2 linked regions of the Struthio camelus genome follow. The protein of the gene in region 1 interacts with the protein of each later gene in a biochemical or structural test. Links are inferred from orthologs where the notes say so. Each region holds a gene or a part of one and is shown on either strand. Other genes may lie near its edges. The genes, in order: CTSB and cystatin-B.

The links.
Region 2: the proteins of CTSB (region 1) and cystatin-B form a complex in vitro, tested with the Homo sapiens proteins (2 studies listed by BioGRID). The link is inferred for Struthio camelus from reciprocal best matches to the Homo sapiens genes CTSB and CSTB.

The regions. Positions count from the first base shown.
Region 1 is NC_090944.1:11,199,340-11,209,142, reverse strand, and holds the start of CTSB (cathepsin B), read left to right. Parts: upstream 1-6,023; 5' UTR 6,024-6,038; coding exon 6,039-6,075; intron 6,076-8,076; coding exon 8,077-8,228; intron 8,229-8,780; coding exon 8,781-8,866; intron 8,867-9,672; coding exon 9,673-9,787; intron 9,788-9,803. UniProt on the Homo sapiens protein: Thiol protease which is believed to participate in intracellular degradation and turnover of proteins. Cleaves matrix extracellular phosphoglycoprotein MEPE. Involved in the solubilization of cross-linked TG/thyroglobulin in the thyroid follicle lumen.
Region 2 is NC_090942.1:91,152,264-91,161,813, reverse strand, and holds the start of cystatin-B, read left to right. Parts: upstream 1-5,296; 5' UTR 5,297-5,954; coding exon 5,955-6,020; intron 6,021-9,550. Other genes in the region: CASR (extracellular calcium-sensing receptor), read left to right, coding at 823-2,273. UniProt on the Homo sapiens protein: This is an intracellular thiol proteinase inhibitor. Tightly binding reversible inhibitor of cathepsins L, H and B.

The sequences.
Region 1 (9,803 bases):
GAGAAAAAGGGAGGAAAATCATTCCTTTTTTTCTGTCCCGTTTGGTGTCTTCTTCTCTCCTAACATAAAGCATGAGCTCTTTTAAAGCATCCTAAAACCTCCTGAAGACATAGAGACGCCTGCTAGCACTGTTGCATCCCTCCAGGCTGGCAGGAATGAGACAGCCTTTCTGTTCTGTCCATGCAGCCCGTAACGCTGCAGGGCCAGGGCCGTTCCTGCAGCTCTTTTTTCCCCGCTAGCGAGCCCTCAAGGTTCCCCTTTTTGGTGCCTGAAATAAGTCCCAGGTGCTTCCCTTTCCAGCCTTTTCCAAGTATTTTCCATGTTGGCTGCTGGATTTCAGCTGACTGATTAGGCATATTTTTTTTTCTATTATTTATATTCTATATTTCTATTCTAGTTCTATTCTATTTCTATTATTTTCTGCCAAAACTGTGCATCTATTCCTCAAGCTGGTGGAAAATACATTTTATCCTCATGTCCTCTCAGACTGGAGAAAGAAAAGAGAAAAATACATGATCTTTCTTATTAAGAGAAGTTTTAGCATCCCTGTGGTTTAGAAAAGGACATGAATCTTGGATGACCTTGGCTGATCAACTCTTAGGATGACCTTTCTGGGCAGTGTACCCTTCCTGTGAAAATAAGCCCAAACGGGAGGAAAAAAAAAGTCTATTAACAAATGCATAGTAAACACTTTCTGGACTTCCCAGCCTAAAACCTCACGGGATGTTGGCAGGATGGAGGAGCAATGGAGATAGCTGCTGGTAGGATGAAGGTGGGATGGAGATGGGTTGGAGTCAAAACTTGCTGGGCTTCCCAGCCTAAAACCTCAGAGGACGCTGGCAGGAGGGAGGAGGGATGGAGGTAGGTGCTGATGGGACGCTGGTAGGGTGAAGACGGGACGGAGAAAGGATGCAGGCGGGACGGAGGAGGAACGCAAGGTGGAACGAAGGTGGGATGGGGGTGGGATGCAGACGGGAAGGCGGCAGGATGCAAGCAGGATGGAGGCGGGGTGGACGCGCGCTGCAGTCGGGGTGGAAGCGAGATGCTGGTGGGTTGGCGAGGGCATGGAGGCGGGACGGAGCCGGGATGACTCAGCTGCTGGGAGCTGCCCCCTTTGGCGGCCGCAGAGGCGGCTCGGGGCGGGCGCGGGGCGGTGAGTCGCCGCGGGGCGGGCCGCAGCGGAGCCGCAGCGGCGCATAAGGAGCGCGGCGGGGGCCCGGGCGCGGTGCAGCGCGGCGGCGGGGGCAGGTAAGGGCGGCCCGTGGGTGCGGGCGGCGGCGGCGGCGGCGGCGGCGGCGGCGGCGGCGGCGGCGGCGGCGGCGGGGGGGTCGCCGTGCTGCAAAGTCCGGTGCGCATTTGTGTGCCGGGGGCGGGATGCACACCTCGGGCCCTGCCATCCGGAAAAACGGCCGAGGCCTTCCCTGCTTTGCTTTGCCGGAGCCGTGCGCGGTGGGTTGCACCCCCGGGGCAAGCCCGCTGGGGTTGTTGGAAGGGGTCTTTCCTCCTCCCTTTTCCCCCGCTCGGCTGCATCGGCAAGGGGCAGGGCAAGAGCCGGCGCCGGGTCGCGGCTCGCTGCTGTCGGGGGAGGGGGGCTGCAGGCGGTGGCGCCCCGAGGGCATCCCGGCTTTGCTGCGGGGCGTCTGCTGGGGCGATGCCTCTCGGCTGGCCGCAGCCCTGCACTGCCCTCCAGCCCCCCTGCAGGCAGCGAGGGTGCGAGCGGTGGAGCCGTTGGGGTAGTCTCTCCCTTGGTTTTTGGGTGCATCTTGTTTTTTTTTTTTTTTTTTTTTAGCTGTCACAGGCTGGAGAGGGGTGCTGTGGTGTGTTTTGGGCTCTGCGTGATGTTTTGTTGCAGGGGAGATTCCCTTAACCCTCCGTGTGTCTTGGAGAAGCAACTAACCTTCCTGGAAGTGGAGGGGGAGGAGAGAGGAAATCTTCTTCTCATAATGAAGACTGAAACAAAACAGGCCTGCTCGTCAGCTGACGCTAGGGAGGTCGGGTTGGCACCTGCCGAAGTGCTTCTGGGAACATCCCGTGATGCACACGGCTCTGGCTTGGGGATGGTGCAGAAGAAAGGCTGTTTCATGCCAGCCTATGGTGCAATGGTCCAGATACTGTGCTCTAAGAAGTGCACTGATAGAGCAAAGAGCACTTCCTTGTTATGTTTCCCTCCAGGTCACAAAGTTGAGGGTGTTGATGAGGGCAGTGAACTAGAATATTGCTATTACAGTATCTTTTACAGCAACTGAGGTCTTATGTAAGACTCTGGTTTATGGATCAGTCTCTAAGAAGTTGTTCTCCAAAAAAAGAAAAATCGGTGCAGTTCCATTAAGGAGGAATTTGGAAGTTTCATTTTCTGTTAGGGCAACTTGTCTCAAGATGCAGTCATGTTTTTTTGTTTGCTGTTAGGGTTTTTTGTTAGTTATCCAGACTGTACTAAAGGCTTGGCTTTCCTGAAAAGGAATGGGGGTGGGGATCATGCATATTTTTAAAAAAAAAAAAAGAGGAGGGGAGGATGACAGTGGTTTGAGCTTTGTAATGGCTGTAATGAAGTCACCTGGCTATAGATTTACTGCGTGCATGTTGGCCACCAAGCTAAACTTTCAGTGCATCAAGCTAAGCAGGGTTGCTTTATTTATACACTTGCTTTATTGTGGCTTAGAGTCATGCACAAATACTGGCAGCCAGTGTAGTGCTGGCCCGAACAAAGGACAAAGCTCATCTTGGGAAGAAGGCTGTTGCTAGAGGAGGCCACATGACTTGAGTTTTGCTGAGTACTTCTAACCCTGGAGGGATGGTGCACTATGGCTGTGACAGTGAGACAGCTTTTATCTTTCTCAGACATAGAGTGGGTGGGTGCCTCTATCTGTGCCTGGAGGGGTTTGGCCCAGGTGCTGTGAACCAGCTGAGAGGTGCTTCTGGGTGTGACTCTCCTTGTGGCCTAGCCTGCCTAAACTGGGTCATGTGAGCTGTGCTTTGACTAGCCCATCTCCTGCCCCTTTGGTTGCACAGGCAACATGGGGGAAAGGAGTGGAGAGAAATTCCTAGTTAACTGGGGCTTGTGCTCTTAGATCTTTGGGCAATGTGTGGAAGAGTCTACTGGTGGGCCTCTGCAGCTAGGGCTGCTGTGAACTGCAAAGGGTCCCCTGTTGCTCTTCAGGAGTACAGGTACATCTCCCTTGGCTGCTTCAGCAGTATGGGAGAAGGTTACGTGACCCTCAGACGTGCTCTTCTCTCTGGTTTAACATGGTTTGAGTGTTTGTGGGCCTGTCCCTGGGAAAGCAGGCAGGGAGCTGCCTCTAGCCTCAATCTCCCAGGGATAGTGAGGGACCTGGGTGATAAGTCAGCTCCTTACCTCCTTCCCTCTGTTTGTATGATTGCAAACAGCAGCAGGAAATGCAGAGGACCTGTGTGTAGGTGGTGCAGCATGAGCAGCCACCATCTCAGTGCAGGTGCTCTCCTCCCTCATGTGCTGGAGCTGTTCTTAATGGCTTGCATTGGAGCGCATTCGGCCTCTGTGCTGCCTCTGAGGCTCTTCTCCCTGGCTGACAACTTGAGGCCTGTGCTCATATGGCCCAAGTTCCTCTTAGTGAGCATCTAGCTGCTAGAAGGCTAGTTGTGTGGGTCCTGCTCTGGGCCAGGTGTGAGCTTGCTTGTGGGTAGCTACTTCTTGGAGGTAATTTCTCATTTTCTTTTTGAGAGACTGCACTAAGATGCTTTGGATCCTAAAGCCCTTGGTGGGGTACTTCCTCTCAGGTCCAGCCCAAGAGGAGATGGAACAGGTCTTGAGGGCTGACTGCAAGCCCCAAATGTCTCCCTGGGACCTGATGGGGTTGCTGAGATGAAGTTGCTGTGTCCGAAGAAGTCAAACAGATAAGTTTGTTTTTTTTTTTTTTTTTTTTAACCTGCTCAGCTGCCTTTTCACAAGCTAAGAGGTTGTGATGGGGTTTGGCCTGTGAAGACAACCTCTGCTAGAGTCATCCTCAAACTGTGAGGCCTTGGGCCTTGCGTGTGCTCTGTGTGTGTGTGGCCAGGCTAGATTTGCTGTCTTTTGAGCTTCGGCATCTTGTGTGCATAGGTTGGTTGTCCTGGTGTGTGAGCAAGTGCTGCAGCAGTTGATTCCTGAATACACTTGGCTACCTGGAGGGAAGCAGGGCTGGAAGGCTGAGCCTGTGCCTGAAGAAGGTGCCATGTCCTGTGCTTGGTAGGACATACAATGGAGCCAGTGGGGTAGTGGACAAGGGGATTTAGTGATAGGGAACTGCTGCTTGAATCGCGAGCTTTAGCTGCCCATGTTGTATGTCTCTACTCAGGCTTGGTTTTGGTGCTGCTCTTTGGGCTCCTTTGGTATTTGAATTTGCTATGAAGCTTTGAGACGGAAAGACATGAGGTGCCAACTGCCTGCAGAGCAACAGCATGTGCAGAAGAGATAGTGACGATGGGGAAATACTTCACGTGGCAGCTTTATCTTGCATGAGTCTTACTTGGCCTTATCTGTAGGGAAAGGGAATGATCACAGAAGCTAGCGGCCTTGCTTTTACTTCTGCTTTGCCTCTCAAATGCCTTTAAGCTGCCTGATGACTGCCTCTGACTTGTCAGGTGCACGTGACTCAATATCTTGCAGTCGTCTGCAGAAATTGGTCCCGCAAGTCCTGTGCCTGCTCTTGCTCTATATATAGATTTGTTATACACAGGGTACTTGCTTTAGCTGTGGCATAATAGAGGGACAAATCACATGAGATCAAAGGGTTTCCCCTTCCTTCTCCACCCAAATCTTGGGATAGTCCATGTAATCCAGCAGTAACCTGACAACTGATTCTTGCTTTGAGTTGGAGCCCCCCAAAACTTCTGGCACTGAGCCCACAGGAGATTTGGCAAGAGACTTTTTCTATTAAAATGACTGACCAGCTCCCAGCTAATGAGTTGCACTGGGAGATGAAGCTGCTTTCTCCTGCTGGGTTTGCTGGCTGTGAGCCACTCTGTGGGGCAAATGCAATGCAGCAAGCATGCAGCCTGCTTAAAATATAGGTGTCTGTCAGAGGGGGGATTGCATTGCAAAGAGGGTATCTCTTTTCAGCTCAGTCTCGGGTTGACTGGAGCTCCCAGTTGACAGTGGCTGTGATCTTGTAACCTGAGGATGTGAGCTCTCCTGAGGCTGTCTGTCAGGAGCTCTGGGCAAGCAGCCTTATAGGTGCAGGAGGCTTTGCAGAATAGGTTTTTGGCATGTCATCAAATCCACAAGTGTCCGAATGAAAACAAACCTGTATCAAATGGATCCTGGCTTCAAAAGTGCCTCCTTTCTGTGCTACGGAAGATAGAAACTTTACAGCTGGAAGGTAGAGGGTTTTAAAGACTGTAGAGGAAGTTTTTAGTCTCAGAGCTGAGCTATGCTCAGTATGCTGGTGGTAGTGGAAGTTTGTCTCTACTGGTTGCTCACCAGGAGCCTTGCAGGGAGATGTGGCCTGACACCTTCCCCTGAATGTGGCCAGGTTGTTGCACCATCTGAGTGACCTTGCTGAGGGAATGGATGCCCTGTGGTGTTATAATGGTCGTGGTATGGGGTGGTGAGGGAACATCTTGTGAGTGCAGAGGGATTTGACTAAACTCTGGTTAAATATGTACCAGGCCCCTAAAGCCTGGGGAGGGCAGAAAGGAGTGTGTGTTGGGTGGGGGTTTAAGTGCTCTGGACCCAGCTCAGCTGTTGCTAGTTCAGTTTGTTCTGGCTGTGTGTAGATATAGGAAGATAAGCCTGTGGCTTTCCAGCATGTGTTTTGGTCATTTTGGATGTTGTGACTTTCCAGCAGAGCAGGCAAGGCCTTTTTTTAGACCCATGTAACAGAAACGAGGAGCCCTCTTCCCAGTGGGAGCCAATAAAGTTATGGTAGACCCTCTCCCTTCACTAACTGGCTTCTGGGGACTTGCCAGCAGCGCTAATAACACACCGTGGACCTGTTTTCCATGCAGCAAAGCCTGTGATGTGGCTTAGCCCAAGGAGCTGGCAGGGATCCTGAAGAAGTTGCTTTGCACCACTTCAGCCCAAGATGGTCGCCTGTAGGCTTTCTATAGTTGTGTTTAAGGGTCAGTAGTCAAAAACCATGTTAGCATTGGAAAAGTGCATTTTCTTTGAGTGTAACCTTTTTGCTGGCTAAGCAGGAAAACATGGCAAGAAGAGAAGGTTTGGAGGCTTTGGAGACCTGTCCTCTGGCAGTACCACCAAGTTGGTTGTCTGTGAGAAACCTCTAAGCACACAAATACATGTAAAACCTCTTCAAAGAAGTGAGATTTGAAGGAGGGACAGTGTATTTCTGAAACTTGACTAGCTTTCCAGCAGAGCGTCCTGCTGAAAGCACAAAGAGGCCACATTAAAGTGAATGGTGGCAGGGGAAAAATAAAAGCCCTTTTATATGGTTAGCTGCAACTGCCCAGGCTTGTAGCTGGCAGAAAGTAGGACAGTCCTGCTGGGTTTTCTTCTCTGGGAAGGCTAAACTTGGCTGTGAGTGGGTGGAGGCAACATGCGTGGAGATGTGTGTGCCTCTGTCCGTCGTCAGCTTGAACCTGGCTGTTCAGAAAGCTTTGCTGCCATGAGACTGCACAGCTGCTGCTGGTAGTTATTTGGCTGCTTAGGCATATTAGCCCAGAAGGGCTTAAGTGCAGCCTCTGAGAGATGATTACATGTTTAACTCGCTGAGATGAGTTGGAATTGGGGCCTAAGTGTCTCTGCTGTTTGGGGCTTTGCTGAGTATCTGAGGTCTTGGGTTGCTAGTCAGGCTTGGAGCTTGGGGCTGATGGAGCTTTGTTAAAGTGAGCCAGGAGGTTGTGGGTGGAGGAGGATACCGCAGCATGTTTGCAAAGGCTGATTGGCTCATAACGCGGCTGGATGTCTGATCCCGTCCAACCAATCTGAGTTGGGTGCAGAGGTGCTGAGAAGTGTGAAGGGTTGCTGCTTCGGCTGTAGGTGTATAAAAGGGTTAAAATGGAGCAGGGTGGTTTAAATTAGGTTAAAACTAGGCAGGAAGAAATGGAGTGGTGGTGTGACTGCCTGTCCTCCAAACCATTGTCCAGCAGACTAGCTTTCTGCTGGATGAGTGAGCTGAACTGATGCCTAGGTGGTGCAAGGCGGTGTGGAGGTGAGGCTGGAGCATCTCCTCTTGGCACTAGCAAGCTTTAAACTGAGGGTCAAGTTGCTTAAAGGATTTGATTGAGCTGAGGAGTACACAGGTGGCAAAACTGAACCTGTACCTATGTTGTGGTTGTGCTTCCATGTGGGAGGCAGGAGGCCTGTGGCTGACTCTTGCTGTGCTCTTGGATTTCCCCCTGCTGTGACTCTCTTCCTCAGCCTGGAACTTTCCTGGTGCCCTGTGCCAAGGGATGCAGTGTCAAACCTCCGTTGTGGAAAAGTCCCACACGGGAGGGGAGTATAGGCTGTAGTGATGGACTGTTCCTATAGGGCTTAGGCCTCCTCTCTGTGGGCAGGAATCCCTTCCCTCAGGGGATGTGACTGTGTTTAGGGTCCTGAGGGTGATAGACTGGCCAAATGAGGCTGTAGAGCCCAGAAATGTGATTTGGAGGGGAGCTGTGGGAGGGAGGCCCTCAAAGGGAAGAGTGCTGTGTTAGGATAGTGGGCTAGCAAGTACACGGGGGCTACAGCTCTGCTGGGATCTGATGTGGGGTAGATCATTTAATCCCTCTTAGTCCTTAGCTCTTCTGTTTCTTGGAAGTAAACAGCTTGTGAGACCCTCCAAACACAAACCCTTGGACCTGCTTCAAAAGCAAGTTTCCTGCTGCTGTTAATCCTGCAGCAGTTGACCAAACAGCATTGCCCTGTCTGACTTCTTCTGGGCTGCAGGAAGGGAGTTATTAGCACACTCTTGCATTGCTCCTGACCTTCTAGGTAAATCAGGATTGGGAGGGATTTTGTGCAGGCATGTGTTTTATCCTCCTGTGTGTTGCTGGTAAACAGCTGCTAGCAGTCCTTCTGCCAAGCCCTGCCAGATCCTCCTTGCAGCAGAGCAGTCTGACCTCAGGTTGGGATGGTTTCCTGCTGGTGTTCAGGCAAATGATAACCAAATTGTGTTGCAGGTGAAGGAACCTGTTCTGAAGCCAAGATGTGGAAGTCTGTGTCTGTCCTGTGTGTCCTGGTGGCTTTTGCCAATGCCCGTAGCATTCCTCACTACCCTCCCCTCTCCAGTGACTTGGTCAACCACATAAACAAGCTCAACACCACCTGGAAGGTGAGTGCAGGGGATTTTTTGGACAGATTGTGGGACCTCCTCTCCATAGGACTCAACAGCTGTGATTTGGGAGTCTCATCACAGTGCTTGCCTCCAACCAGCCTTGGGTCCCAGCTGGCCTCCCCAATGAGTTGATGCCATCAGGGATTCCTGCAGTGACAATGATTGTGCACCTCCTCCTTAGAGCAGAGCACTGATGAATTCATAGACTAGGAGTAATGCTGAGAGGAGAGGGAACTCTGCAGGGCAGTGGAAACAAACAGCAAGTGTAGAAGTATATTGCCAACCTGGCCAAACCTGGCTTTGCCATGCTGCTGTGGCCAAAGCTTAGAGTTGGACCTGAGCTTACTGGCCACAGTGCCCTGTTCCTGGAAGGGGCTGTGTTGTCCTGTCACCGTAAGCAGCTTGGCTCTTGGCCTCTGGGTTTTAAAAGCAAGTATCAGATACAGGTTGGGTTCGAGGAAGATCTGGAGCCCCAGGCTAGTCATGCTGTGGCTGCGGACTGCACGTAGTGGCTGTAGAGTCATGTTCAGTCACTCTGTCTCTTCCCAGGCAGGGCACAACTTCCACAACACTGACATGAGTTATGTGAAGAAGCTCTGTGGCACATTCCTGGGTGGGCCCAAGCTCCCCATCAGGTGAGTAATCGGAGAAAGGAAGATGATGGCCCTGCAAAAGCTTGTGTGGATGCTCCTGTGCAAGTCTGCAGTGGGTGAGGGCCCTTTCCCAACAGGCTCTGAGCTGGGTCCCCCTGCATGCTTCTGCATGGGGTGCTCTGGGACTGGATGCTTGATTTGCAAGAAGAGGGTGTGAAGAGGGTACAATATGGTTGTTCCTGCAAGCTGCCAGAGCTGACCATGTAGAGAGCTGATACCTAGGGTGAGCCAGAGAGCAAACAAGGTAAATCCCACCCACAGAAGAGTTCAGGGCTTCAAAAAGCTGCCTGAGGTCAGAGCCTACCCAAAGGGGGACAGTTTCTGAAAGGGTTCTCTTCCCCTGTTGTGGGAGCCAGCAGCCTGACGGCAGGACAGAGAGGCCAAGAGTGAGCCTCAGAGCCTGCAGAGAGGCTTGATCCTGTCTCTTATGTCGTAACACCCAAATAGCAGCTGCTTGGGGGTGTAGTTTCCACAGCTTGCTCCTTGGTTCTTAGTGTGCATCTTGCACAGGGTTGAGCATGGGAGCATGTGTCAGGGGGAACTTCTGCCCTGTATCCTGCAGGTTGTTGGAGCAATCCTCTAACTCCTAATCCTTGAACTAGAACACACTGGAGAGTTGTTGACCTGGCCTGAGGACTTCAGAAATATTTATTTTCCTTTAGTAAGCAAATAAGTGTTCTGGCTGCCCAGATTCACTTGTCTTCCAGGTCCTCTTCAGAGGAGGTTGGAGAGGCCTCTGCACCCAGTCCTGTTACCCTGATGTAAGCCTCATCTCTTCTCACTTACAGGGTAGATTTTGCTGCAGATATGGACTTGCCAGATAACTTTGACTCACGGAAGCAGTGGCCCAACTGCCCAACCATCAATGAGATAAGAGATCAGGGCTCCTGTGGCTCTTGCTGGGTAAGATCACTTTGGC
Region 2 (9,550 bases), on another chromosome or scaffold:
CTCACCACTGGAGCACACGATCTGTTTCGGTTAGAGAAGATGTGCAGTAGGTGCAGGTTCTCACCTTTTGATCGTGGCAGCCAAAGAAGACAGATATTTCCAGCCCAATAGGCTCTAACTAGTTTCCTGTAGAGGAAAGAGATGGAGGCATCAAATTCCCCTCTGCAAGGGTCAGCGGTAGGCTTTGCTGGGTGTAGGGAGAGCAATATTGTTAAGACACGTCTTCCCGTAATGTTCCTAATTGAAATGAGAGTATGGTTGGAGTCAAGGGCATTGCCTGCTTTCCAGGGATGAACAATTTAAACACTTCTAAGATTCACATCTTTGGAGTATGAAATAAGCTCCCAAAGCACTTAAGGACACAAGCACATTTTTAATTTTCCCTGTAACAGAGACAGGCAGGATGTTTCAAATGATGATGGAAGAGTGAGAGGTATGAAGACTGAGAGAAGTAGATGATAAAAATGAAGGAACAAAAAACAGCAAGGGACAGAGCCTGTGTAATAGCTGATAGTAATCAAACACGCAAAGTTTTGCCAAGAAATTGATCCGAAAAGCCAGAGTGCAGGGGAAGGACTTTTTTTAAGCTGGCATTAAATGTCTTTTGTGTTTTGCTACGTAGACCGTGGGGACTGGTTGTTTCATGGTAACGCACTCCTAGATCTGAGAGGCCAGTATCTGATACTGGGAACCCACAGGCACCAGAAGGAAACACCCTCTGTATTTAAGATGAAGGCTTGTGTGCAGCCCCCATTTATCTCATCCCTCATTTCGACCTCTCATTCTAACAAACATCCTCTCTCCCTGTCACTTACTTTTCAGATGCAAGTGCTTGTGACAAATGCCCTGAGGATTACTGGTCCAATGAGAACCATACATCCTGCATCCCCAAGCAGATAGAGTTCCTCTCCTGGACAGAGCCCTTTGGGATCGCCCTGACTCTCTTTGCTGTGCTAGGAATTTTCCTGACTTCTTTTGTCCTGGGTGTTTTCACCAAATTTCGCAATACTCCCATTGTCAAGGCCACGAATCGTGAGCTGTCCTACCTCCTCCTCTTCTCCTTGCTGTGCTGCTTTTCCAGCTCGTTGTTCTTCATTGGTGAACCCCAGGACTGGACTTGCCGTCTGCGGCAGCCAGCCTTCGGCATCAGCTTTGTCCTCTGCATCTCCTGCATCCTGGTGAAAACCAACCGTGTCCTGCTTGTCTTTGAGGCAAAGATCCCCACGAGCCTCCACCGCAAGTGGTGGGGGCTCAATCTCCAGTTCCTCCTGGTCTTCTTGTGCACATTTGTGCAGATTGTCATCTGTGTGATTTGGCTGTACACGGCGCCCCCATCCAGTTACCGGAACCATGACCTAGAGGATGAAATTATCTTCATTACCTGCCATGAAGGCTCTCTGATGGCCCTTGGCTTCCTCATTGGCTACACCTGCCTCCTGGCAGCCATCTGCTTTTTCTTTGCCTTCAAGTCTCGAAAGCTACCTGAGAACTTCAACGAGGCCAAGTTCATCACCTTCAGCATGCTGATCTTCTTCATCGTCTGGATCTCCTTCATCCCTGCTTACGCCAGCACATACGGCAAGTTTGTCTCTGCTGTGGAGGTGATTGCGATATTGGCTGCCAGCTTTGGGCTCCTGGCCTGCATCTTCTTCAACAAAGTCTACATCATCCTCTTCAAGCCTTCCCGCAACACAATAGAAGAGGTGCGCTGCAGTACAGCCGCCCATGCTTTCAAAGTGGCCGCCAGGGCCACACTGAGACGGAGCAATGTGTCACGCAAGCGCTCCAACAGCCTGGGGGGCTCTACTGGCTCCACCCCTTCCTCCTCCATCAGCAGCAAGAGCAACCATGAAGACCCTTTCCCTCTACCGGCCTCCGCAGAGCGGCAGCGCCAGCAGCAGCGTGGGTGTAAGCAAAAAGTCAGCTTCGGGAGCGGCACGGTCACCCTGTCGCTAAGCTTCGAGGAGCCACAGAAGAATGCCGTGGCCAACAGGACCACGAAGCGCAGGAACTCCCTGGAAGCGCAGAACAGCGATGATAGCCTGATGCGGCACCGGGCCCTGCTGCCCCTGCAGAACAGCGAGTCCCTCAGCGCAGAGCCCAGCTTTCGGGCAGCTTCCAGCCCGGAGTCCAGCTCACAGGAGTCAGTGGTGGGAGACACAAAAGAAGAAGTACCAGGCCCCGAGGAGGAGCTTTCCCTGCCATCGGCTAACTCTCGAAATTTCATAGGCACTGGAAGTGGCTCTGTCACAGAGAACACGGTACATTCCTAACGAAAGAAGACCATGAAAACCACACCAGTCCCCAAGAGGAACTTGCTCACCTCTTGCTTCTGATTGGGAAAGACAACAAAGATACACATCTGTGACACAGCCCCACCACAGTTTATTGTTAGTGCTGGTAGGGTAACACACATGCCTCCAGAGGAAGGACTGTCTGAAGCCTGTGTCTGGGGACCCTGGAACTGAAACTGCATTTGCTTTATTGAAATCAGGACATCTTGGAAGGACAAGTGAAGATGGGCTCTGGTGGGGTTTAAGCAGAACTCTGCATGCTGCCTTGCCTCTGTAATCTTTTCCTGCCGGACTGCAACTCAGCTGACTGTGGGAGGCAATTAGGCAATTCCACTATACTCTGCTTTTACACTTATGTACATTATTTCTCTTTCCCACTATGTATAATAGTCCCTCTTTATCCAGTATATGTGATCTGTAACCATGTTCGTCAGGACTCTCCGCTCTACAAAAGCAAGATATACAGTTTCACTTGGGGAACACACGGTCATGGGGAAAATAAAAAAGCCCCCAACATCCTGCATGCTGTGTACAGCCAAGGGTGTGAACATGTAAAGTATTTAATGTGACAGAGCGCCCTGCTATTTATATTTAGTAATGTCCCAATCTCTCCTTTCTTCCCGCGAGCGGGAGCAGCAGGAAATACTAGACAATGCTCTTCATAGACTCCGTTACATTAGACCAAGCTACTAGGTTCCTACTGGTTTCTTCCAGCTGAGGTAGCTTCACCTCCAGCCTGACTGCTTTGGTGGAGGGGGAGAACAGCTTGTCATATCCTCCAGGAGAATGCTGCGAGAGCACAATGAGATGTATCCATGATTGATTATGTCACTAGTAGTTGTACGCTTAATGACGTGTTGCTGTTGTAATATTCCACGTGGCATACATGGCTAAACTTTTCACACCATAGTCAGTGTTGTGCTTTGCCATATTAATCTGCCTCACATCTACACATAGTATTGCGCTAGTCGTGACAATACTGGTGGGCTTGAGACAAAGCAAATGAAACAAGATGAAATGGAGGAGTTAAAAGATGTAGAAATATCCCCCCAAAAGTGATAATATGACTGCAAGGAAAGATAAATATTTGGAGCGCGCATGCTGGTAGATGACTGGATGAGGAAGACACATACAGGCCTGGGCTCTGAGACATGCACACTGATAAATGAGTAAATAAATGAGTAAATTGGGTATGTTTTGGCTCCTACAGGGCATCAGATGTCCAGGAGTTTTACTGGAGATGCCTAGGGTAAGTATTTCCCTCCTGGCCCACCTTGAAGAGAGGGCACCTAGTGCACTACATCTGAAGAGTAAGGTCTTCAGAAGAGAACACGTTCCTCTTGGTGCTTGTCTTACTCCCCCAAAAGCAGACATGAGTGCTCTTAGTTTTGCAAGGGTTTTTTTTTTTTTGCCTGGTTCTTCTCCATCCATACTGGAAAAGTTGGAAGTAAGAGTCAGTAGTAGAGATTTTTTTGTAGCTTGATGAGAGAAAGAGTGGCCCAAGAAAGCTTGGAAGGAGAGGGTGGGGTTACGCTGCAGAATTTATTTCCCTCTTCCCAGATGCCATGTGCAAGCACAAGTAGCTGGCATGAAAATGCCAGTTCCACCTCTCATCACACATGAACGTAGTCTAGAGCCCTGCAGAAAGCTATACAGGCCTGCAGCCTCGTGTGAGCAGAGTCCACAGGACCAGGTGAATGCCTTGGGGAGACTACCACAATTCTCTGTTTTTGCTTGGTTGTTCTTTTGCCAGGGCAGGCAAATAAAACTTACAGGTCACATTACTGCATAAAAATTTTGTTTTGCCACCTCCACTTGTTGTTGATAAGGAAGAGGAGTTGTGGCTTAGGAGAGTGCAGTGGAAGTTCGGAATCTCTAGGAGCATGATAGTAAGACAATTTCCTTCAACCCTTTTGTTGATTTGTTACATTCACCTTGCAATGGACTAAAATTTTATTTACTGCATATAACTGCATGAACCAGTCCAACTTTAATAGTATGACCTGCCAATTACAATATTTGATTAAAATTTTTGTGTGGCAGGTTGAAAAAAAAGTTTGAAAACACAAATCATTGTGGCCACACCTTTGGACATCAGATTCCACCCCTGAACCCAGTGAGAGCTGCTCATTGCTCCTGCAAAATCAAGTTGCTGAACGTGGCCTACGTCCTCAATTCAGAACACCTAGTTTAGACCCAGGGCTTCTTGAGTTTAAATGAGTGCACGGAGATGGCCACGAGGTGGCGGAAATACCTTTTTAAAAAAATAGTTGTCTATGGCCCAAACACTTCAAAAAGTTCAGTAGCCAAATAGTTTTACCGTTATCAGTCATTCATCACTGCTACAGGCCAAACTTGACACCAGAGTCGTCTCTGAAGCTGACAGCACTGAAAGCATAGATGCTCTAAATGAATTAAATGAGGAAGGCACAGGATATAAACTGAAGACTATACACAAAAACAAACACCATGAAAACCAAAAGGTCACCAGTGGCTGCCCTCTTTTCCAAACTTGGCACTATTCACAGGCTGGCAGGAGTACGATATTCACCACCTATGCACTCAGTCAATAATGTTGACATTTATTTCTAAAGTTTTGGGTGTTTTTAATTCTTTACATCTACATTAAAAAGATGGGGGGAGGGGGGTGCCCCGATGCATGATGAGGCTTCCACAGCTGCCAAATTTTATAGTGACAAATCAGCCCGTGCTCAGTTTGCGGATGAAGCCCCATCTGCTGCCAAAGCACGCTCAGCCAGCGCTGCAGGCCTCCTCAGGCCACAGATTGTGGAGACCCACTGCCTGCAACTCCTTGCAGTGGAGCACAGCTAAACACAAGGGAAGCTCAGAGGAAGAGGACCCTCTTTATAAAGGTGATGTGCAAGCAGACTTCTGCCATTCAGCATGCAGTACCCACTGCTGATGAATCTAGCTGTTAAATTTGCCATCTTAACCAAGGGGAGTAGGAAAAGGCTTTTTTTTTTCTTTCTTTCTTAAGGATCTGGCCATTCAAATCAGGGAGAAGCCAACATTTCGTTAGAGCGCTGAACATGCAGGCTAAAATCTCACCAGGGAGTTTCTCTCATTAGGTCCAGGTGTTGGCTAATCCACCCTCGTCTTTCGTTGCCCTGAGGAGCAGCAAAATCGAGCTGGAAGGTGCAATGCTGAAACGGCGAAGCAGAGAGAGTCCCAGCGACGGAAACTCTCCATGCTGCTAGAGCACACCCAACACGCAGGTGATGGACGCTGGAAGAAGTAATATACTAGGGAAAGGAAGAAGCAGCAAAGGCGAACAGCGTTGCCAGCAGCTGCTCCCATCCGGGGCTGTGAGCAACGGGCCACCCGCCCTCGCCAAGGCCTGAGCATAGCTCATCCTGCAGGCAGCTTTCACCTGCAAGTCTTTGCTGTTGGTTTTTTCTCTTCCTTTGCCTAGCGCTCTACAGCGTTTCCCGAGATGGGAGGTTTTCGGCGAAGCCCGGAGAAAGCTGGCCTCGCCGTTTCGTACGAGAGGGTATTTAAAAAAAAAAAAAAAAAACCAACAACACACGCACACACACACCCTACCCTGCTCTACCATTTTCCCGCTGTTACCGCCTCCCCGCGCCCGCGGCGCAGCCGACAAAGGGCCGGGCGGGGCCGAGCAGAGAGGCGGCCGCCGCCATGTTGTGCGGAGGACCCTCAGCGGCGCGGGCGGCCACCGCCGAGACGCAGCAACTGGCGGACGAGGTGAGGGGGGCCGCGGCGGGAGCCGGGGAAGGGGGGCGCCCGGGCGCCCCCTGCGCCGAGGCGGCGGGCGCGATGGCAACGTCCCCAGACGGCTTTATAGCACTGACACTCCCCCCCCCTTCCCCGCCGCGGTGTGCCCACGGCTCTACGCAGTGTCTCCTCCAAGCACACGTTTCCTTTGCCGTTCGGGCGTCCTTCCTGTGTAAACAGAGAGCGGCAAGACTGCGGTTGTAGGTTTAAATTCACTGCTTTGGGGGCTGCATCCCCGTGGCGGGGCGTGCAGGGTGTTCAGCCGTTGCTGGAGCCCGCCGTACACAAAGGAGCTGCCCCTCCCCCGCCCCTTCCCTGGGAAGCCGGGGGCTGACAAACGGCCGAAACGTCCTGGGTAGTTCTTAACGGTTGGGAAGCCGTCGCTGCGCCGGCTCGGTCTCTGCTAGCGGTCTTCCGAGAGAGCAAGCCCGAGATTGCAAGAGGAAGTTTTCGCAGCGTTTGGAGAGCGCCGTTGAGTGCCTCATTAGGTACTCGGCAGCTCTGTTCCTGCTTGTGCAAACTGATGTAGTATCTAGCAGTAATTTTAGCACGATGTGATCCGTCTGCTTCCCGAGGTGTAACGTTTGAGCTCCTAAAAGGTCTGTTTCCTTTCTCAAGAGGAAACAGGGCCTGGCAGAAGGAGCTCCCTCTCTCATGAAGGCTAAACCTCTTTTGGGGGGAGCAAATAGGCAAGAAAATATCTCTTGTTATTTCACAAAGCAGAATTCAGCTCTAAAAACTGGCAATTCCAAATATTGGTGCTCGTTATTGCATCTTAAATTGCTGTCCATGCTAATGGAACACGGGCGTTTGCTCTAAAAGTGACTATGTACAAGTGAGTTCTGCTTTCAAAACATACGGCCTTGTGTCAGTTGTGTGTAATAACCCTGAAGTGCCTTCTGCTTTTTCCTTTTATCATCTAGGGTTTGTCACACCAATTAAGAAAGATTAAGGACAAGTTGTAGCTTCTTGCGCTCTTTATCATCGCCCAGATTTGCCAGACCACAGCAGTTTCCACGCACGTACAAAACGCCCAAAGACAGCAGGACTGCGCAGTAGTCATTGAAATTAAAGTTTAGTTTGTAGAATGTGATGATGTTGCCTAAAAAGAGATGTATAACTTTTAAACACTAAGCTGAGCTTGCAGTACCGAGTACAGGATTGAGAATTGCTGAGGGATTGACAATTATTATTCTGCTCTGAAGAGGCCTGAGTGTTGTGTTAGAGATAAGGCTAGTGTGCAATTAACGTTGCACATGGGCTGAGAACTAGACTTCTTTAAAAACCTGGATTTCTGTTCTGTGGCAGGCTGCAGTGCTTCAGTAACCCAAAAACAGGATGAAGAGTAACAACCAAAGCAAACCAATTGGATTCAGAAGTGATGGAATTTGCTGAAAACCTGGCATTTTCATTTAAAACTAAATACTTCAAAGTTTGTCCAGTTTGTTTTGACTGCTCTTTTAAATTATTTTATTTAATGAAACATACATGGGAATCCTCAAAACTTAAATTCGCCTGTGGAATAGTATGCTCAGCTGGATACAGACTATGTCGAAAATGTTCTTTTTGTTAAATGAAGATAGGAGTTCTTGAATTATTTTGTTTGCTTAAAATCTAATCTTTTTGGAGATTTGTTAAGAGCCTGCCAAGTTTGCTCACCACAGATACATTTCCTGTGGCTGCTTTTCCAGTTATCATCTCCATCGGATTGTTTCCTAAAGACAGTGTAATGCTGAACAGTGGTCAAACTCATAGCCCTGGCAAGTAGTGCTGCTTGCCCAGAGGCAAGCAGCATATGCAGGTAAGCACCATATGCAGGTAAAGCATATGGAACAGCAGGACAGGCTTCCCTTCAACAGTGTCCCTGGCTTGAGAGTCTTCTAGGAGCTGTCTCTCTAAGGCAAGGATCGCAGCCCAGGCCTCTTCAGCCTTTGGAGGTTACTCAGGGTGAATTTTAACCACCTATCTTTTAGTGACTGCTCTGAGAGCGAGCAAGCAGGCTGTGCAGGACACCGCAGAGCCTTCGGGACACAATAATTTTCAGTCCTGTGATTGAATCGCAGATTCTTCAGGTGTGAAGGGGCCGCTCCTTCTGCTCAAAGCAGAGTCAGCTCTGAGAGCAGACCAGGCTGCTCAGGCCTTCACCCAGCTGGCTCTTGAAAACCTCCAAGGATGGAAACTGCACAACTTCCCTGAGCAACCTGTCCTCATGGGAAAAAGCTTTTCCTTATATACAGACAGACCTTCCAATTTCAATTTATGACCACTGTGTCTCATCCTTCTGCCATGGCCCTCTGTAAAGAGCCTGGCTCGGTCTTCTCAGTAACCTGTCGCCACTGGGAGGCTTTCCTGCAAGCCTTCTCCCCTCCTGGCTGAGGCGGGTGGAAATTGGACGCATGATTCCCGACATGCTTAACAAGTGCCAAGTAAAGGGCAGCAATCGCTTGCCCCTGCCTTCTGGCTGCACTCGTGCCGATGCAGCCTGGTATGCTGTTATTACTGGGGTGCACCGCTGGCTCAGGTTTAGTGCACTGTCCCCCAGCACCCCCAGATCTAGCACTGGGTCATTCACTAGCACAGCAGGTTGATAGCAGTTCTTGCAGGGAGCATTTCTCTCTGGGCTCTCCCTCTCCGCCCCCGCCAAGGATGCCCTTTTGTCACGGGCTGGGACGAGTCATTGCCATGTGACTCTGAGCTGGCTGCAGTCATGGAGCCCAGTGTTCAGCTTTCTGGTGGAGGTAGAAAATATGCTGAGCCAGGCTGTTTCCCAAACTCAAAAAAAAAAAAAAAAAACAACCTTGCACAGCACCTAGGATTGCTAAGGGAGTGAGGGACAGCAGAGGGCCAGCGATAATACCTCTTGTTCCCCTCTACCCCTTTCTTAAAATTTGTGATAGTAACTCTCTTGACAGGCACTGAGCTTACTTCCTCCCTCTTGTGAGTCCCAGTGGGAGGACTGAATTGCTGTGCTTTCTCCGGCTGCACCCTTCCATGCAAAGGTTTTGGGTTCGCTTGGATTTCTGTATAGCACAAATCTTACAGAAGAAAGCATTTAAATGGCATATGCTTACTTTTGAAGTACTGCTCCTAACCTGGAAGAAGCATAGAGGTATGACCTCTGAGAGAGGATATATGGTATGATCCTGGCTCCCAGGGACGGGATGGATGGCTAGTGCCTCGTCCTGCATCTTCTCAGTAGTGGGGAGGGAAAGGCCTGAGAACAGATCCCGTCGGAAGAATTGTTTCTGTTCCTACTTCATTGTTTCCTGGAGCACCTGAGAGTTTTCCCCCAAGGCAGTGGATGGCATGCAGGCAGGATGGCAAATATATTAATTCCCCTTGATTTATGAAGGAAGGGAAATAGCACAATATATCTAGAAAGAGAAAATCTGCTTGCTGCTCTTCCTGTTGTACTGGGAGTGGAGGGAGAGCTGCATAATGGTGTACTGCAGGAGGGAAGGCCTTCTGGGGAGCACTGAGCTTGCAGCAAGGACTCCAAG